Linked DNA regions of Struthio camelus. The protein of the gene in region 1 purifies or fractionates together with the protein of each later gene. This does not show direct contact. Links are inferred from orthologs where the notes say so. Each region holds a gene or a part of one and is shown on either strand. Other genes may lie near its edges.

Region 1 (7,865 bases):
GAGAAAGGGGACATGGCTGGTACGTGCCTGATCTTGCCCACAGTAAAGGGGTACAGCCAGGGAAGGGAAGAAGAACAGCACAAAAACAGGAAGGGAAGAATTCTGAAAGACTGAACTTGTCCACATAATCAAAGCATTTAGATAGCAAAGCCAGGCAGGATTTTCTCTCAAGCGTTTCTCTCAAGGAGCCCTTCTCCTGGCTCAGATGGGCTCAACCGACACAATCTGAAAGGCAGGTCCAGCCATGCTTTAAGGAGCACCACAGTTATGGCTAGAGGGGGCTAGTAAGATCCCTTTTAATAGGCAAATGTTCAGCCCATGAGGTGACTAACCACCGAATGCAAACTGAAGTCACCTGAAGCTGCACAACGTTCAGGATCAATCCCAAATAAGGCACAGTCACTTCTGCTGCAGTTCCTTCCAGGGTAGAGCAGACACAAACACAATCATGCTGGGCTCAACAACTTCCCAGAGCCCAAGGCCCTCCTTACAGCTCTAGCTGGGCTGTTCTGTCTGGGGACCCCCAGGGAGGGAAAGGTTGACAGCGGAAGGGTTTCAGCCAGGTGACACAAACTCACTCGGGCAGCTCCATAAGTGGCTTAAGACCATCGAAGGCTGCACTGCCACAGAAAAGGGCAGTCGTGCGCCCAGCCCATCTCACCACGCGTTCCTGCTACCACCCTCATGCTGGCAAAGCTGCTGGTATTGCCACGTCATCCCACAAGTCAGGAAACCAAACTACCTGAAAATGTGAGGTTGGGGGTTCTTTTGTTGGGTTCAGTCAACTTAACACCATCACGAAAACTCACGTTTAGGTGTTATCTGTGAAGCTGTCTGCATTCCCTAACCGAATACTCTGGTCACTCCATTTGACCCAGGTTGCCCACTACTGCTTGGTAAAATTTAACCTCCCTCACTGGAGATCATTCCTTTCTGCAGGGCAGTTTAACCTGCAAGTGATCTCTTGCTGCATGCTGTAGCGCTCACCACTGAACAAAACAGCAAAGCTGGAGCTTTCTCCATCATCCTGGCTGGATTTACCACGGCCTTTCTCAGCCTTACTTGAGACAGCAGTGCCCAGGGTGCAGGGGACCCCAGGATTTGGAGAGGGACCTGGCAGACTGCGGGCCAGTTCCTGGATCCTACAGTTTTCTCCATGACCCTTAGCAGGTCCCCAGAACTCTTTGACTCTCCAGGCCCCAGGTGTGCAATGAGGACAGCGCTGTACGTTCTCTTGCCAATGCTGATGATCAGCCCTTTGGACTATTGGTTATTAGACATCTGTATGCTACTTAACACAACACAACTCCAATTTCTGGTAGTGCCTCCAGCACTATTGCCTTGCAATAGGAGAAAATACGGATTTATTTTAGCAGTGGCAAATGGATGCACGTAAAACAGATAGTAGGAGATCCCTGTCCCAGAGCTTCAACTGCAAGGAGCATGAGAAGGAGGCTAAGCAAATGCAACACTCAGGTGGCCAGGACCAGAAAAGCACTGACACCTCTCCACAGAAGGTTACCTTCACCACAATGCATTTTCCTGGAACCACCTCTTCCCTTCACACAGCTCCCAGGGAGCCATGTAAAGGGATGCTGTCACAGAAGTAATTGACTTTCTCATGCTGCTTTTGCTCAGCAAAGGCATTCTGGAACCATCCATCGCTCATACCGCCCTCTCCTCTACAAACAGACCAAAGAGTCACTACAGCTCTAAGCAGGAATCACTACCTCCACTGACAGGCAGACACTTGAAGGCAACATGCAACAGCTATTTAACAGGAACACTAACCACTTAAGATAGGGTGAAAAGAACATACCATCAGGGTAAAACTGTGCAAGAATTCAAAGGACGCAAATTAAAGTACTTGGGTTGAAACAAAGTGTTAGGCAACATTTTCAAAGTTGAAAAAACACACTGCTATGCCAGAGTTCCTCACAACACAGTTACCTCCCATAAAGAGCTACAATAACCTGGACCTGGCTTGCTACATATATATCAAATTCTGCTGACTTATGTACCAAGTTTTCTTCTCAGGCTCATGCACCCCCAGCAGACAGTCTGTCTGAGCCACTGTCTTTGATAGCACCTTACCTCAAAAGCAAGTCGAACTGAAAGAAAGTCCACACTTTCGGGCTTCACACAACTCAACAGGATCATGAGGTCAAAATCATGCATCAAATAGGAGAAAAGCGTTCGACAGCAAGTCTGTAAGAGGAACAGTGGCTGCAAGCTGGCAGGAGAATAAGGCAGAAGTAAAAAGGATGTTGAGATGAAAGGATGACAGCACAGTTTTACTGCCTGCTCTGAGCAGAGAGACGTGTAATCATCACGGGGCAGCTACAGAAATCTACCACCAAATGTCCCATATTGCATAAGATGCGGATCCAAAGCAGAAGGAAACGAGGTTACTCGGAGATCAAGAGAGAAGCACGAGCAACACGTGCTACGTGTCAGACAAGCAGTAGGACGGTCAGAGACAAAACCAGACGTGCCCTGCGACCAGGTGTATCGGACAGCACGGGCTGTGAAGGGAAGGCAGCCGAGGAAAAGCGAGACACGGACAGGATTTAGAGTGCAACGCGGGAGGAGCACGCCAGCTCCTCCGGGCGCTGGAAGCATCCCCCCGACGCTACACCGAGCTCAAAGATACATCAACACGGAAGGGCAGAGGGAGGAAGACAACACGGCGCTGCTGCCAAGCGGGCTGCGGCTCCCCGCTGCCCCAGGCGGGTTCTGGGGCTCCCGGCCAGCCGGGGGCAACTCCCGGAGCGGGGGCAACCGCCGGCCCCGCCGCCCCCCGGCCCCGCCGCCGCCTCCGCAGAGCCCCCGGCCCAGCGCCCCGCACCCCCGGCCCGGCCCTCAGGGCTCCCCTCGGCCCCCCGGGGCTCCCCTCGGCCCCGGCCCGGCCTCGCTCGCACCTGGTAGCGGCGGCGGCCGGAGCGCCGGTGCCCGGTCCCGGCACATCGCGGCCCCGGCCTGCTCCCCGCTCCGCTGGCGGCTCAGCTGCCTGCCCGCCCGGGCCGGAAGCCCCACGCCCCACGCTCCTCGGGATTTGTAGTCCCGCCCTCCAGCCTTCCACCGGCTCCTGCCGAGCCTCGGTGACGTCAGGACTACACTTCCCAGCAGCCCTCGCCGCGCCGCGCTGATTGGCGCGTCTCCGGTCAGTCTGTGCTACAAGCACTGTTGCTACTGGTCTCACTCTCCCTCCTTCAGGGGGCCAATCGGGCGGCGGAAGACCCCCACCACCTCGGGCCACGCTGCGCCGCGCGGCGCCATTGGAGCGAGGACGAGGCAGCCACCAATGAGCGCCGGGAGAGGTGGGCTGGCGATCACGCCAACTGCTCGCGATTGGCTGGGCCTGCAGGCAGCCTGCCCAATGGCGACGCGGAGGAGAGTATAAAGAGCGCAGCGAAGGCACGCCCCGGTCTTTCCAACCGCGAGGTGAGTGGGGTGGGTGGTGGCGGCGGGGCGGGAGCGGGGCGAGCCGGTGATGATCACTGACCTTCTGACACCTCGTCTGAGGGCGGCGGGCGGCCGCGGCCCCTGCTGACGCTCCGCGGCTGAGGCTCGAGGGAGCCGCGGCGGGGTCGGCCGGGCGGCGCGGCCCGCTCTCACCGCGCGGCCTTCTCTCTCCTCAGGGAGCGGCGGGAACCGGCTCGGACCGGCGGGCACCGGCCGCCGGCGGCCCGAGGGACGGCGAGGCGGCAGCGGTGACCGGCGCCGGGCCCTGCCTGAGCCCGCGGCGCGCTCGGGTAGCGGCGGCGACTCGTTCACGGAGTTAGCTGGTAAAACGCGGTGTTTCCGCCCTGTCTCCGGCTCGCAGCGCTGGGAAGCGGTGCGGAGCCACAGGCGGGGTGACTGCCCGCGCCTGTAAGTTACCTCAGGAAAGTTAGAGCCCTAGGGAACGCCCGAGCGGATTTCAAGGCAAGTGAAAGTGAGAAGCTGTGGCTGGAGTAACTGTTTCGTGGCCTTAAAAGAGTTTTTATTTTATGCGTAGAGTAGGCTGGGAGCTCCGGAGCAGAACAAGCGATGCAGCTCCACGTACAGCTTAAAAGTGCACTGGGTGAGAGGAGATCACTTCTGGGGTGTCTGTATCAGCTGCTGGCTTTGATCCTGTACAGCCTGGGGCTCAGGGCAGTTTCTAAACGCAAAGGAGTAGCTGCGGGACTGCCCAAAACACAAAGAGTCAAAAGCAATTCTTAGCAGTGAGCCCGATAGCTTAAGGCAACAGGAATGGAAGGTAGTGGGTGCAAAACCGTTGGTAAGTGTAAGAATTCATAGGTAGCACTTCTTGCAATACGTGTGGACCCTAGTACTAGACTGTTGTGTGGATACTTTATATCTGGGAGTCCTTGGTACTATCCTAGCTGTTTGGGGAACATAAGCTGCTCAGACACTGTTCTTTCGACGTTTTTGAATTAAGTTTAGCCTTGTAATCTTTCAATTATTTGCTGCTATGTCTCCGTTTTGGCTTCTGTATAAGGCTAATTTTACAGCTTCCAGTTTTAATAAAGTTGTCAAAAAAAACTTCTTTTGCTAAGCTTTTTGTTCATCAATCCCATAGGTGACATGTAATACTTCAGACTACCTCTGAGCCTTGCATTTGCGTACCTAGCACAGCATTTCTACTATTCCTACTTAATTTAAGAGAGCGAGAACATCTTAACATGTGCACTACAGCTTAACGGTAGTCTATTTTCATTTAATTCTGACTGCTTTCGTTGGAGCAGCTGAACCCATACTGATACTGGAAGAAGTTAGTCTAGATATGTTCAAGAATGAGCTGAACTGTTTGATTCAGTAGTTCAGGTGTGAGAGAATAATCAAAATTCCACTGGAGCCACAAAGTTTATTTAAAAAAAATTTTATTAACAGGAATGAAACGAGCTGTAAACAAGAGCCAGCAAAAACTAGAAGTGCTTGTAATGCTGAGTCCTTAGGCTTGTTTGAATGTACTAGCAATTCTCTATCACTTGGTGGCAGTAAAGGCCCATGTAAAAAAAAATGCCCAAAACAGTCTGAAGAGGAGCTTAAAGGCAAGGTTAGTATGCAGGCATTCTGAGACAAGTAGTATATATAGGGAGCTGGTAGCTGGGTAGCAGTGGGTGTTGAGTCTCAGGTGTATCACTGAGAAATACCACAAATACAGTTGGGATGTTTCTGATTTATTGAAGTTAGCTCCCAGTAGGCATATTTAGTTAAAGCCCTGCAAAGGGTGGCATTTAGATCTTTCCTATTTAAATGTTTTTTAATTGGTTTTGCTCCCACACTCGGGAAGGAAGGTAAAAGTTGTCAGCTTTTTTGTCAAGATGCGAGGCGGCTGCCCTGCTAGAAAGAGGAAAGGCAACTCTGATAGAAGTAGAATAGTAGAAGTATACTGCTGATTCTTTTTCCCTTCCAGTAGACTGCCTGTAGCTTTCAGGGTAGTGTGGCCATGCAGTGACTGGCATCTTAGGATGAGAGCTGCTGTTGCACAGCTAGGTTGACTCTCAGAAAATAAGGTGCTGTGAAGGCAGGCTTGGGGAACAAACAGCTCCATGATGTTTTAACTGCCTGATGACTCCTTTCCTGTGCATCTCTGCTGGCCTGGCCCTTGCACAGCTGTGTAAGCTGTGATACCAAAATACTGGTACTTTACAGTTGGGGCTTAGAGAAAAATTCCACTCGTGTTTTTTTTTTTTAAACTGCAGCCAGCAAGTTTTTGTTAAACAGCCCAGAAAGAGAATGGAGGGGGGTGTAATATAAGCAGCTTCGTGTTAGAGATGCTAACTAAGTAGCAGCTACAGGAGCACAGCAAAACTTACCAAAGCATGAAACAAATTTATCCAGATTACTGCTCACTTCTTGGTAGTGCTTGATTAACTTGCAAATCCTTTTCTGTGTTGTAATGTGCAAACAATTAATGAGGCCTTGTTAATGTGAAACTTGAAGAGGCCTGACTGCTGTTCTCCCAAAGGATATGCTTGCTGCTGCTAGCAGGGAGCAGGCACTGTCCAGTAATACACTCCTGGATATTCCTGCTATCCTAGCACATGCAGCAGGGATCTACTCTAGACTATTCACTGCAAATAACTGCTGTAGGAACAGTCTTTCAACCCATAATCCCCTAAACTTTTGGGAGAACTGCTGCTTACAGCTTCATCTGCACTTTTAATTTTTTGGTTTAAGAGACTTGCTTCTCCCTAAAAGCTATTTAAGAAAAAGTGTTATGTTCTAAGTAGGTTTATTTTAAGATTCCCTTCTCGTACTGTTACTGTGCTGGACTTGCCTGAAACAGTAGCTCTAAGTACCAGTTCTTTGTGCACTGCTCATTTTAATGTAGCTAAACGAGGAAAAGTGCAATTCTGAGGACTCCTTTGCCTCGTTGCCTGGCTGAATCCTGTTGGCCTCAAGCCCTCAGCAGCTGCAGAGAGACTTCCCTGCACTTAAGGAATGCCAGGTTGTAGCTCAAGTAAACACCCCAGGCAAAGCAAGGGGCAGGTATGTCTGAACTAACCACTGACAAAGCCAATGCTTTGCTGGCATCTGGGAAGGGTGAACGGGTGATTTATTGTGTAGCAGTCCATTTAAGGCGGTGCAGGCAGGCTCAATGGAATGGGTACCTGGATGTCATGCATGTGGAATTTGTAAATACCTGCAGCTTGAGAAAATTGCCAACGGCCAAACATTTCATCCACATTCAGATTTATACTTAGCGCTTAAAAGTGCCAAATGCCTAGCACAGAAATAAGGGGTGAGGATTCCACTGAAGAGTGCTGGCACAAGACTGTTAAACCTGTACAGTCAATGCTTACAGCATTCTCCTCAGCTTTCTTCAGTTAAAAGAGCTATCCCAAGAGAACCCTGAAGATAACAAAGCATTGTTGCAGTCTAAAAATACTATCACGCTTACAGTAAGGTAAGTAGAAGAAGCTGCAATACATTAGATTTCTTCTCAAAGTACTAGAAACTGCAGTAATGGCGAACCAATGTCTTATCAAACAGATAAACAGTCAGGAATTCTCTGTACAACAGATATATTTGCAGGAGCTTACTCAAACAGACAGCTAAGCTCTGCAGGGAAAAGGAGAAATCTTCATCAAGGAAGGTATGTTACAACACACAAAGGACTTACATAAGCAATTACAAAAATGGTTGCCTTGAAAACAAAGCTTTCCTATGTGCCACAGGCCAAGAAGTCTGACTAGGTGAATCCCAGGTATATGGGAGAAGAAAACTGAATTCAAGCTATTTTCTTACTCAGTTGTTTTGTGAGGAGAAGGCATTCTCCTTGGTCACGCAATACTTAACTTTTCACTGCACTGTATTAACTTTAAAGAACTCTCACACTGCTCCTTGCTGAGTATTATCCCCGCTGATTTGGTGGAGAAGCAGATCGGTCTAATGACTGCCCGTGGCCCTGGAAGAGTTCTGACTTATGGCAAGGTCGGAGCCTACGCAAGTCTCTCAGGAAAGGCAACTACGAGCAACACAGGAGCGGGATGGCCTGCCGCAACTGGTGTGGGAAAGGCCTGTTTCCCTGGGGGAACCCAAAGCGCTCGCAGCGTGTGACAAAACGCCTCGGGGGGCTCGGAGAGCAGTGCTTGGAACGTGCTGCAGCACGGCCAGCATCAGGGCTGGCTGGAAAGAGCTTTTTCTGCTACTGCTTTCATTCCACGTGTCTCAGCTCACCTTTTATGCAGATACAGACACAACAGACAGACATGCACACACTGTCCACGAGGAGAGAGCGCGGCACATGAACACTTGGCATGAGTCTCTGTACAAATGCACCAAGCACATTAGGATCTGCAGCAGCCCGAGCCTCTTACTTCCTTCTTCACGTAGTCGTGGAGCTTGAATTTGGGCTCATTGGGCAGCTT
Region 2 (7,662 bases), on another chromosome or scaffold:
ATTCACAGAAATGAAGCTTCTGTTCTGGAAAGCAGTAGCTTTAAAAGGATGTGGGCAACCTATGTGGAAAACCACAGAATATCAGTTTGTACCATGTTATGGTAAAATGAATAGCTTGATTCTTGTGCTCAAAATCAGCCTAACATTAAGTAGATAGTAAACGTGAAAAAGATGATTGTTCACTTTTTCTCACAGTTTAAAAAACAGAGTGCCTGCTCAACTTTCAAAGTAGAGACTGTGACTCTAAGTTCAGATCAGGAAGGGGGTCCCAGCTTGTCTAGAAAAAATATAAAGAGGGGGAGAATTGCCTATCTTGATAATTGCCTATAGCCTGCTGTGATCATGTCTGTAAGATGAGAATAGAACTACAAATCAGCAGATAAAAATTGCTGGTTTGGACATCAGGCTTGATAGGTGGGTGAAGCGATGAGATGTTAAAGACAAATAATTCTATTTTTCCAGTTCTTTAAAAGCAACAAGAAGAAAGAACTTCAGTGAAATCCAAGCTTCTAGGTGTTTGGAGACAGAAAGAACAAGTTTTACCAGGATGGCGTTCTCCTACCATCTGGCAGGAATTCCTGGCTCACTGTCATGGATTGCAACTAGCTAGTCTATTATCTTTTTGATTTAAGTAAACGAACTTTCTACACAAAGGAGAGGCAGTAGGTCTCATTTAACAGGACTTCAACTAAGAATTTTCTGTGATGACGTGTAAGAACTAGAAGACAGACAAAAATACCCAAGGGCGAGGTGGCAATAGAGTGTTTTGACCTCAGAGCAGGTACGATGGGGAATTAATACCGAATTTCTCGAGTACTGGTCCCATGGGTAATCTCATCTAAACCTTTCAGGAATGACCTTGGCACAAAAAACGAGTGCGATAATCAAATTTGATGAACAAAAGTGGTAGGCTTCATAATGCAAGAGAACTAGAATATCTTTGTCTTTTGATGACTTGGAGTGAGAAACAGAGATGAGATGAAATGTAGCAATGGAAAGTGCAAGGCAGTGAATTTAGGGGCGAGAAGAAATTGGCCAAGAATGCTAAGAGTTTATTACTTGAAAGTGACTGAGGGAAGGAAGGTGTATTTACTAGTTGATAAAGGATAGTAATGAGCTGCACTGAGGCTGTGGAAAAAAGCATGTAGAAAAGTTGGTTTAAGGGGAATAGTGATGCTGTCATACAGGGGATATGAATTCAAAGGGGAACAGGGACAAAAAAGGCTTTCAGGGAGATACCACAAATACAAAGCTGGTATTATGAAATGAGGGAGTGGTTTACTTGGCTATTAAAAATGAAGCCTGAAGGGAGATATGATTATCATCTTGATGTATTAGTGAGAAAACAGCAGGGAATGCAAAGGATTATTTAAGTTAAAGGATAATCTTGACATGAAAACAAATGGCTATAAGCTGGACATGACTAGTTCTAGATGGGAAAACTAGAAATCTTTTTCTAACGTGAGAGCAATAAGACAGGAAGCACTAAAATAAGAGAAGTCTAAACACTAACAGCATTATTAGTATTAGTAATAATTAACATTACAATCAACACTGAAAAAAGACTGGTTTTAGGATGGAAACTTTGAGGTGGGGCCTATGGAATCATCTAGTCCAACTTCCTGCTCAAAGCAAGACCAACTTCAAAGTTAAATTATTTGGCTTTGTACATACCTCTTGCTTTAGAGAGGCTGGATCTGTTGATCTAAATAAGCATTCCTTTCCAGATTTCTGTACCTATGTAGTAGGATGAGGCAAAGACCTTTTGTTATCCCAACTAGACAGAGTCAAAGTGAATGATATCATAGATGATGTTGTCTGTGGCTAAATCCTAAATTCCTCCTGGGATGTGGGATTTAGGTTCCCTCTCTTTCCCACTCTTCGGAGCAATTTTCCTTTTGCATCTATTTTCCTTCTCCTTCTGGCTTATCCAGTTGATACAACCTCTTTAATGTTGTTGCTGTGTTGCATATAAGGAAAAACATTTAGAAGACAATTCATGTGCTGCTAGAAATTTGCCAGGTTGAAAAGCAGCTGGTAAAGCCAGCTACTTGAGGTGGGTTTCCTAGCAGCAAGGTGGCCTTTGCAATGCCAGGGAAGAGGAGCTGTGCTTATTACAAACCCACCCTCTGCTGTCCATTTGCATCCTTGCTTTTTGTGTTGAAAGAAGCAGGATTGGACTTTAAAAGCAAGCAGCAGCAGATTTTTCTCTCTTTTTTTTTTTCCCCTCCCCTCTTTAAGAAGGAAGTACTTGATATGAAGTAGAAACTGTTTTTTCCCCTCCCCTGTATCTTTAAAAGGCTCCAAAAGATGCCTAGCTGTAGTTGTTACCGTAGGAACAAGCAGAGCATGGTACTTCAGCCAGACCCCCAAATTATGCTTATCTTGTTAGTGTCGTAGCATCACTGTCACTGCTCTTCAATTTTCTACATCTGTTTAGTCTGCTGAAATCGGGGCAATGCTACAGAGCTTGAAAAGCATGGAGGATTCAGAGGACCTTTAAGAAGGCTCTGCATTTTGGCAAGGATACATGCAAGTACTCCACCTCTTTCACTGCAAGCAGAGAGCAGGCTGAGAAATGACTGAACTCTGGCCCACCACTACTTATGCAGGAGACTTCTTGAAACAAGATATTTCTTAAATTGCAGAAAAGAGTCTTAAAAACCCCCACCAGCCCACAGGTGGAGAGGAAGCAGAGGCTAGGAAAGAGCAAACTGCAATGAAGGTGTCGTGTGTGATTAGCAATTGTAGAGTGTACAAAGGGACACTGCAGGCTCTCCGGCAGCTGAAGACTTTGAATCATGCCTGGATGTCATTTTAAAAGATGTGCTTTGAATTGAACACAGCTTATGGAGTTGGAGGTGGGAATTACTGGGTAAATTCAACAGGGTTACATTAGATGATTTTTAAGGTGAAGTGGGACTATTATGACCTGTGTTTTTCGAGGGGGGGGGGGGGAACACACAACCAGTTAAAACCAGTGGGCTTATGCCAGTTATTAGATGATTTTTTTTTTCTTAAGTCATTCTTGGAGTAGGAAGAAATTATTTTGGTGTATCAAAATCAAGAAGCCTGAGCAAATCAGTAAGTCTATTAAAAAGCTGCCCTTTGTAGGGAGCAGTGGAAGATAGGAAAGCTGGGGGTTTTGAGGGGGAGGAGAGTTGTGGGTCTGCTATATTGTGTTTTGGTTTTCCCCCTCCGCCCCTAAGTTGTTTATATTAATTTAGACTGTAAAGTCGCTGGAGAGCTATTTAGCAAGAATGTATTCTGCTTATGGTTTGTGTGTCCAGGACAGCCTGGCAGACAAATGCTAAAACTGCAGGAGATTGTCGTCAGGTGTCTCACATCAGTGAGCGAGTGAATGTAGCAGGTCAGCAGTTCCACTCCTAACAACACAAACACTCTCTCATTAACATCAACCCCTAATGAAAGGGGAGGAAATAATGAACTTCTAGGCTAGGGTTCAATCCTTCAAGTTGAAACCACAGAACTTCACCTTCACATCAGATAATTTTTAAGAGATATGCTGTACCATTGCAGCACTTAACATCATGCTTGTGGAGAAGCTGAAGCAGTGGTTTTGAAGGCTTTAAAAATGGAAGAACTATTTATTCTGTGACTCTTGCATCTTTCACTTGCTGCAGTGTGCAGGCAAACTGTGGGATACCTGTGATGACCTGGGGACAAAATCAAGGTTTGTTTATGGTAATTGGATCTTTTACTAGACCACCTACTAGCAGATAACATCTCTCCCTAAGAATAACCATGTCTTGTGTGATGCCCTGGGTAGTTGGTCTAATGCTGTTGTTTGTTGGGGTTGTGTAGGGTTTTGGGGGGGTTTTTTGTTTGTTTGTTTTGCTTTGAAGAGGGGAAAAAAACCACTGTCACCCTTTGCTCATTCTGGAAGTTTTGGGGCTTTTATTTTATTTTTTTTCTTGAATTAAAAAAAAGGGGGGGGGGGATGCTTTACTCTTACTTTTGTTTTTAAACTTTATTTGCTAAGCTCTACCTACAGTGAAAGCAATGCAGCAAGGGACAAGAGACGCCTGCCTTCCTCTGGGTGACTTGGATATCCCCCCAAAATAGTGGCTTAAGGTGAGGAGGTGCCCTGGATTTGGCTTTTTCCAGAGTGAAAGGCAGCTGAGGTGAGGAGGAAGGAAAAGAGGGGGGGGGGGGCCCTCTTGCAGGGTGGGTGACTGGTGCTAGCCCGGCCCCTGACAGGAGGGCGAATGGTGCAACGCTGTCGCAGCTGGCTCTAGAACCCGGCCGCGCGCCCTGCTCTAGAACCCGGCCAGCAGCCGGAGGGCGGAGCCGCCGCGCCGCCGGTCAGCCTGATTGGCAGGCGGGGGAGGGGCGTGGCCGAGGCTATCCGCCCTCCCGGCGGGCGGGAGGGGGCGGGGCCAGCCCCGTCGAGCGGGGCCCCCCCTGATTGGCAGCCGGCGCGGCGGCGGGCGGGGCGGGCGCCGCGGCTGGCGGCGCGGTCAGGTGGGTGACTCGGCGGCCGCGATTGGCGGGCAGCGGCGGGTCGGCCCCTGTGATTGGCAGGCAGGCGGCGGCGGGTGCGCGGCGGCCGCCGAGCGGTTTGTTTTGCTCGCGGCCCGGGCGCCCTGTGGCGGCGGCGGCGGCGGCTGCGGCGGGGAGCGACCGGGACCGCCCCTGCCCCCCCCCTTCCTCCCCCCCCCTCCCCGCCGCCGCGGGGGCGGCCGGAGCGGGGCCCGCCGGAAGGAGACGGCGGCGGCGCGGGCCTGGGAATGTGGCGGCGGCCGTGAGCCCTCCCCCCTCGGCCCGGCCGCCATGGAGCCGCGGCGGTGACAGCCCCGCACCTCAACGCGCCGCCGCCCCGCGGGCGCGGACCCGGGCCCGCCGCCATGGGTAAGAGCGGGGGCCGCGGCGGGAGGGGGGGACCTAGGCCCGCTCGGGTCCTCCGGGCCCGGCCGCTGCGGCGGCTTCGTTGCCGCGGGGCGGGGAAGGGGGAGGGAAATCCCTGCAGCGAGCGGCCGCGCCGATTGTGGGGTTTCTGGGGGGATTTTTTTGAGGTAAAATCGCTCGGCGGGGTCGCGGGGCTGGCGGGGGCCGGGGCCGCTCGTCCCGCGGCGCGGCGTTGCGTGCTCGACCCGGCTGTGGAAATCCTGCCCGTGGCGTCGGTTGCGCCTTGGGATTCTGTCAAAACAGCGTTTTTCCTGCCTGCAGCCTCCGCTGGCGTCGGTTGCCCCGCTCAAGGCGGGCAGTTAACGCTCGGAAACGAGCACGGCAGCCGCAGGACTCCTTTCGCAGGCCAATAAATTGCTCTCGGAGTTGCCGTAACGATTAATTTTTTTCAGATGATGTGGCCTATGTGCTTTTGGGGGGGGGGGGAGGGAAGTGTAACCTGGTTCCTTTTTTAATTTAAAGAAGGGTCTTCGTGTACTGGTTTAGGTGAATTAAATATTTACCCTAGTATTTATGCTTGTATATTGGCAACGGAATTACTGCTGTTATCTTGAGCGCAGAGTTGCGTTGCTTTGGGGGCTGCAGCTTCAATTTTTCTTTGTGTGCCCTCCCTGAGTTTAGTGTCCTGAGGCTCTACTTCATTATTTAGTCTGTATGTGTAATCCTTATATTTATAATGTAAATCCATAAAGTATCGTGAATGTTGTTGAAAGCAGAAGCGAAGCAGCTCGATTCCCTTTGTACCCTTACCATTCCAGCTACAGTAACTCCTTTAGAACAAGTGTGTAATTTGCTTGGATTTTGTGAATACAACAGATGGATCTAGATCTAAGAGTAGGCTTCTCTTATGAAGAGAAGCATAGTATTATTCAGTCTGTTATCTCCTCCAAAGGAACCATCCCCATGGTCCTTAAGCTTGCAATAGTTGAGAAGGAAGGAGTTGGATTTCCACTTGGCAGTGGCAATTGTACACCTATTTCTAAAGATGTGAGCGCAGAATGAAAAGCTCACAGACCTTTCATAGACGGTTGTGCCATCGCAAACAGGTTACTACTGACAGGAATGATCTTATCGAAATTCAGTACGCAGTCGTGATCGAATCTTATACAGAATCATGGCGAGCGCGGTATGTCCTATTATACTTCTCTTCCATCTTGTTCTTGATAAACTAATCTGAAAGATACGTGCAATGGAAAGCCGTAAGGTATTAGCGTTGCAGTTTGTCATAACTCCGTTGACGCCCCTGAACCCTTCTGACAGTGGCTCTCTGGCACTTTACAGAAGGCTTCTACACAGAGCTCCTCCGCAGCGTTTAAAACACTGCTGTTTGCCTCTGTCGCAGAGAAGTGTGTACAGATCCGGGAAAGAGAGGAGAAAGCTGTGTTTAGGCTGAAGGTTTGTGGTAGACCTAGAACGAAATGCTCATTACAGGCCCAGCTGCAGCTGAGTCTTTCCCTCGATCTGCTCTTTTTTCCTGCCTATGTCACTTCCTTCCCTTGGCTCACACGCTTACCCATAACACAGCTCTTGGGTTTTGCTGCACTGACAGCCCCGGTGCGTTGTGGGGGAAGGGAGGAGGAGGGAGCCTACAGGTTAGTTCCAGTTTAAACCCTGACCTTTTTTTTTTGTGAAATTTTTTTTTGAATTTCTGTGTGAGAAGAGGTACCCCAAATAAGTATTACATGTATCAGATTCATAGAGAAGCTCTGATTTTTCTTTTCAGTCTATTTAAAAAAGGTGATTTGCAGTTCCCTAAAAGAGGAGGAGGTAAAGACAGTTTGTTGTCGCTAAGACTCTATTACAAAGTGTACCCAGTGTTTCCATCCTTCACAACATGCCACCAAATGAAAATTAAACTTCTCCATAACTTTTTTTCAAAGCTTTAATAGGTACTCCGTTTCTCTTCTTAACTTATGAGATGTACTCGTTGGCCCTGGATCTGCTAATTATTTGTGCAAACAGTCGTCTTGCTATTGTGGTGGTAGACAACAAAGAAACCTTTTTTTTGTTCATCTCTGCCTTTTTAAACAAACATTAGTGGCATCACATCTTCTATTATCATGCTATATGAAATAACATACTGGTTTATAGGGCTTTACAGACTTCCTGTTTTTACCAATCTGCAGATGCTTTTACTCTGTTGGTTTGAACTTCATGATTTTTTTCAAAACTATTTCCATTTCTGCCATAGCAAATACACAGGTCTGAGCAAGTCAGTGTAATAAACCATGTATTTGTTGAACTAAATGCTTTATACGGAGGAATAGCTTTCTCTGAGAGTAGCAGTTCCCCTTTATCGATGTTATAAAAATCCTTGAGTGTAGTTTTTAAAACATGAAAAGCATTTCCTGGACAACATCTTTCCCGCACAAAGCAGAACTGTGTTTCCCAGACCTACTGGAGACCTAGCAAAACAGGGTCTCTCAGTGCGCTTCAAAAATTGCTTGTTTTTTCGTTTGTAATAGCTTTTGCATTGTGTGATTAATGTGATGCTGCTGCATATACTGCTTTAAGGTTAGTCTGTAGGAATCCTGTATTTTGATGGAAATAAAGAAGCATTCATGCTTCTCAAGGTTAAATCCATTACAATGCAAACCTAAACACAAACATTTTTTCCATACACAAGCTCAGGTCAGTAGTTGACTTTCATTTTACACTGAATGAGAGAAATGCCCCTTCATTTCCTACCTCCCCAACGTAAGGATAAATCATAGAAGAGTATGTTTTAGCAGC

Evidence for each region.
Region 2: the proteins of TRAF7 (region 1) and MAP3K3 purify together in Homo sapiens (affinity purification with mass spectrometry; 5 studies listed by BioGRID and IntAct, with this or other methods). This does not show direct contact. The link is inferred for Struthio camelus from reciprocal best matches to the Homo sapiens genes TRAF7 and MAP3K3.

Annotation. Positions count from the first base shown.
Region 1 is NC_090956.1:1,805,074-1,812,938, forward strand, and holds the start of TRAF7 (E3 ubiquitin-protein ligase TRAF7), read right to left. Parts: upstream 3,061-7,865; 5' UTR 2,922-3,060; intron 2,234-2,921; exon of another isoform or gene 2,095-2,233; intron 1-2,094. Other genes in the region: RAB26 (ras-related protein Rab-26), read right to left, coding at 7,785-7,865. UniProt on the Homo sapiens protein: E3 ubiquitin and SUMO-protein ligase that plays a role in different biological processes such as innate immunity, inflammation or apoptosis. Potentiates MAP3K3-mediated activation of JUN/AP1 and DDIT3 transcriptional regulators.
Region 2 is NC_090966.1:4,212,942-4,220,603, forward strand, and holds the start of MAP3K3 (mitogen-activated protein kinase kinase kinase 3), read left to right. Parts: upstream 1-4,606; 5' UTR 4,607-4,868; coding exon 4,869-4,872; intron 4,873-7,662. UniProt on the Homo sapiens protein: Component of a protein kinase signal transduction cascade. Mediates activation of the NF-kappa-B, AP1 and DDIT3 transcriptional regulators.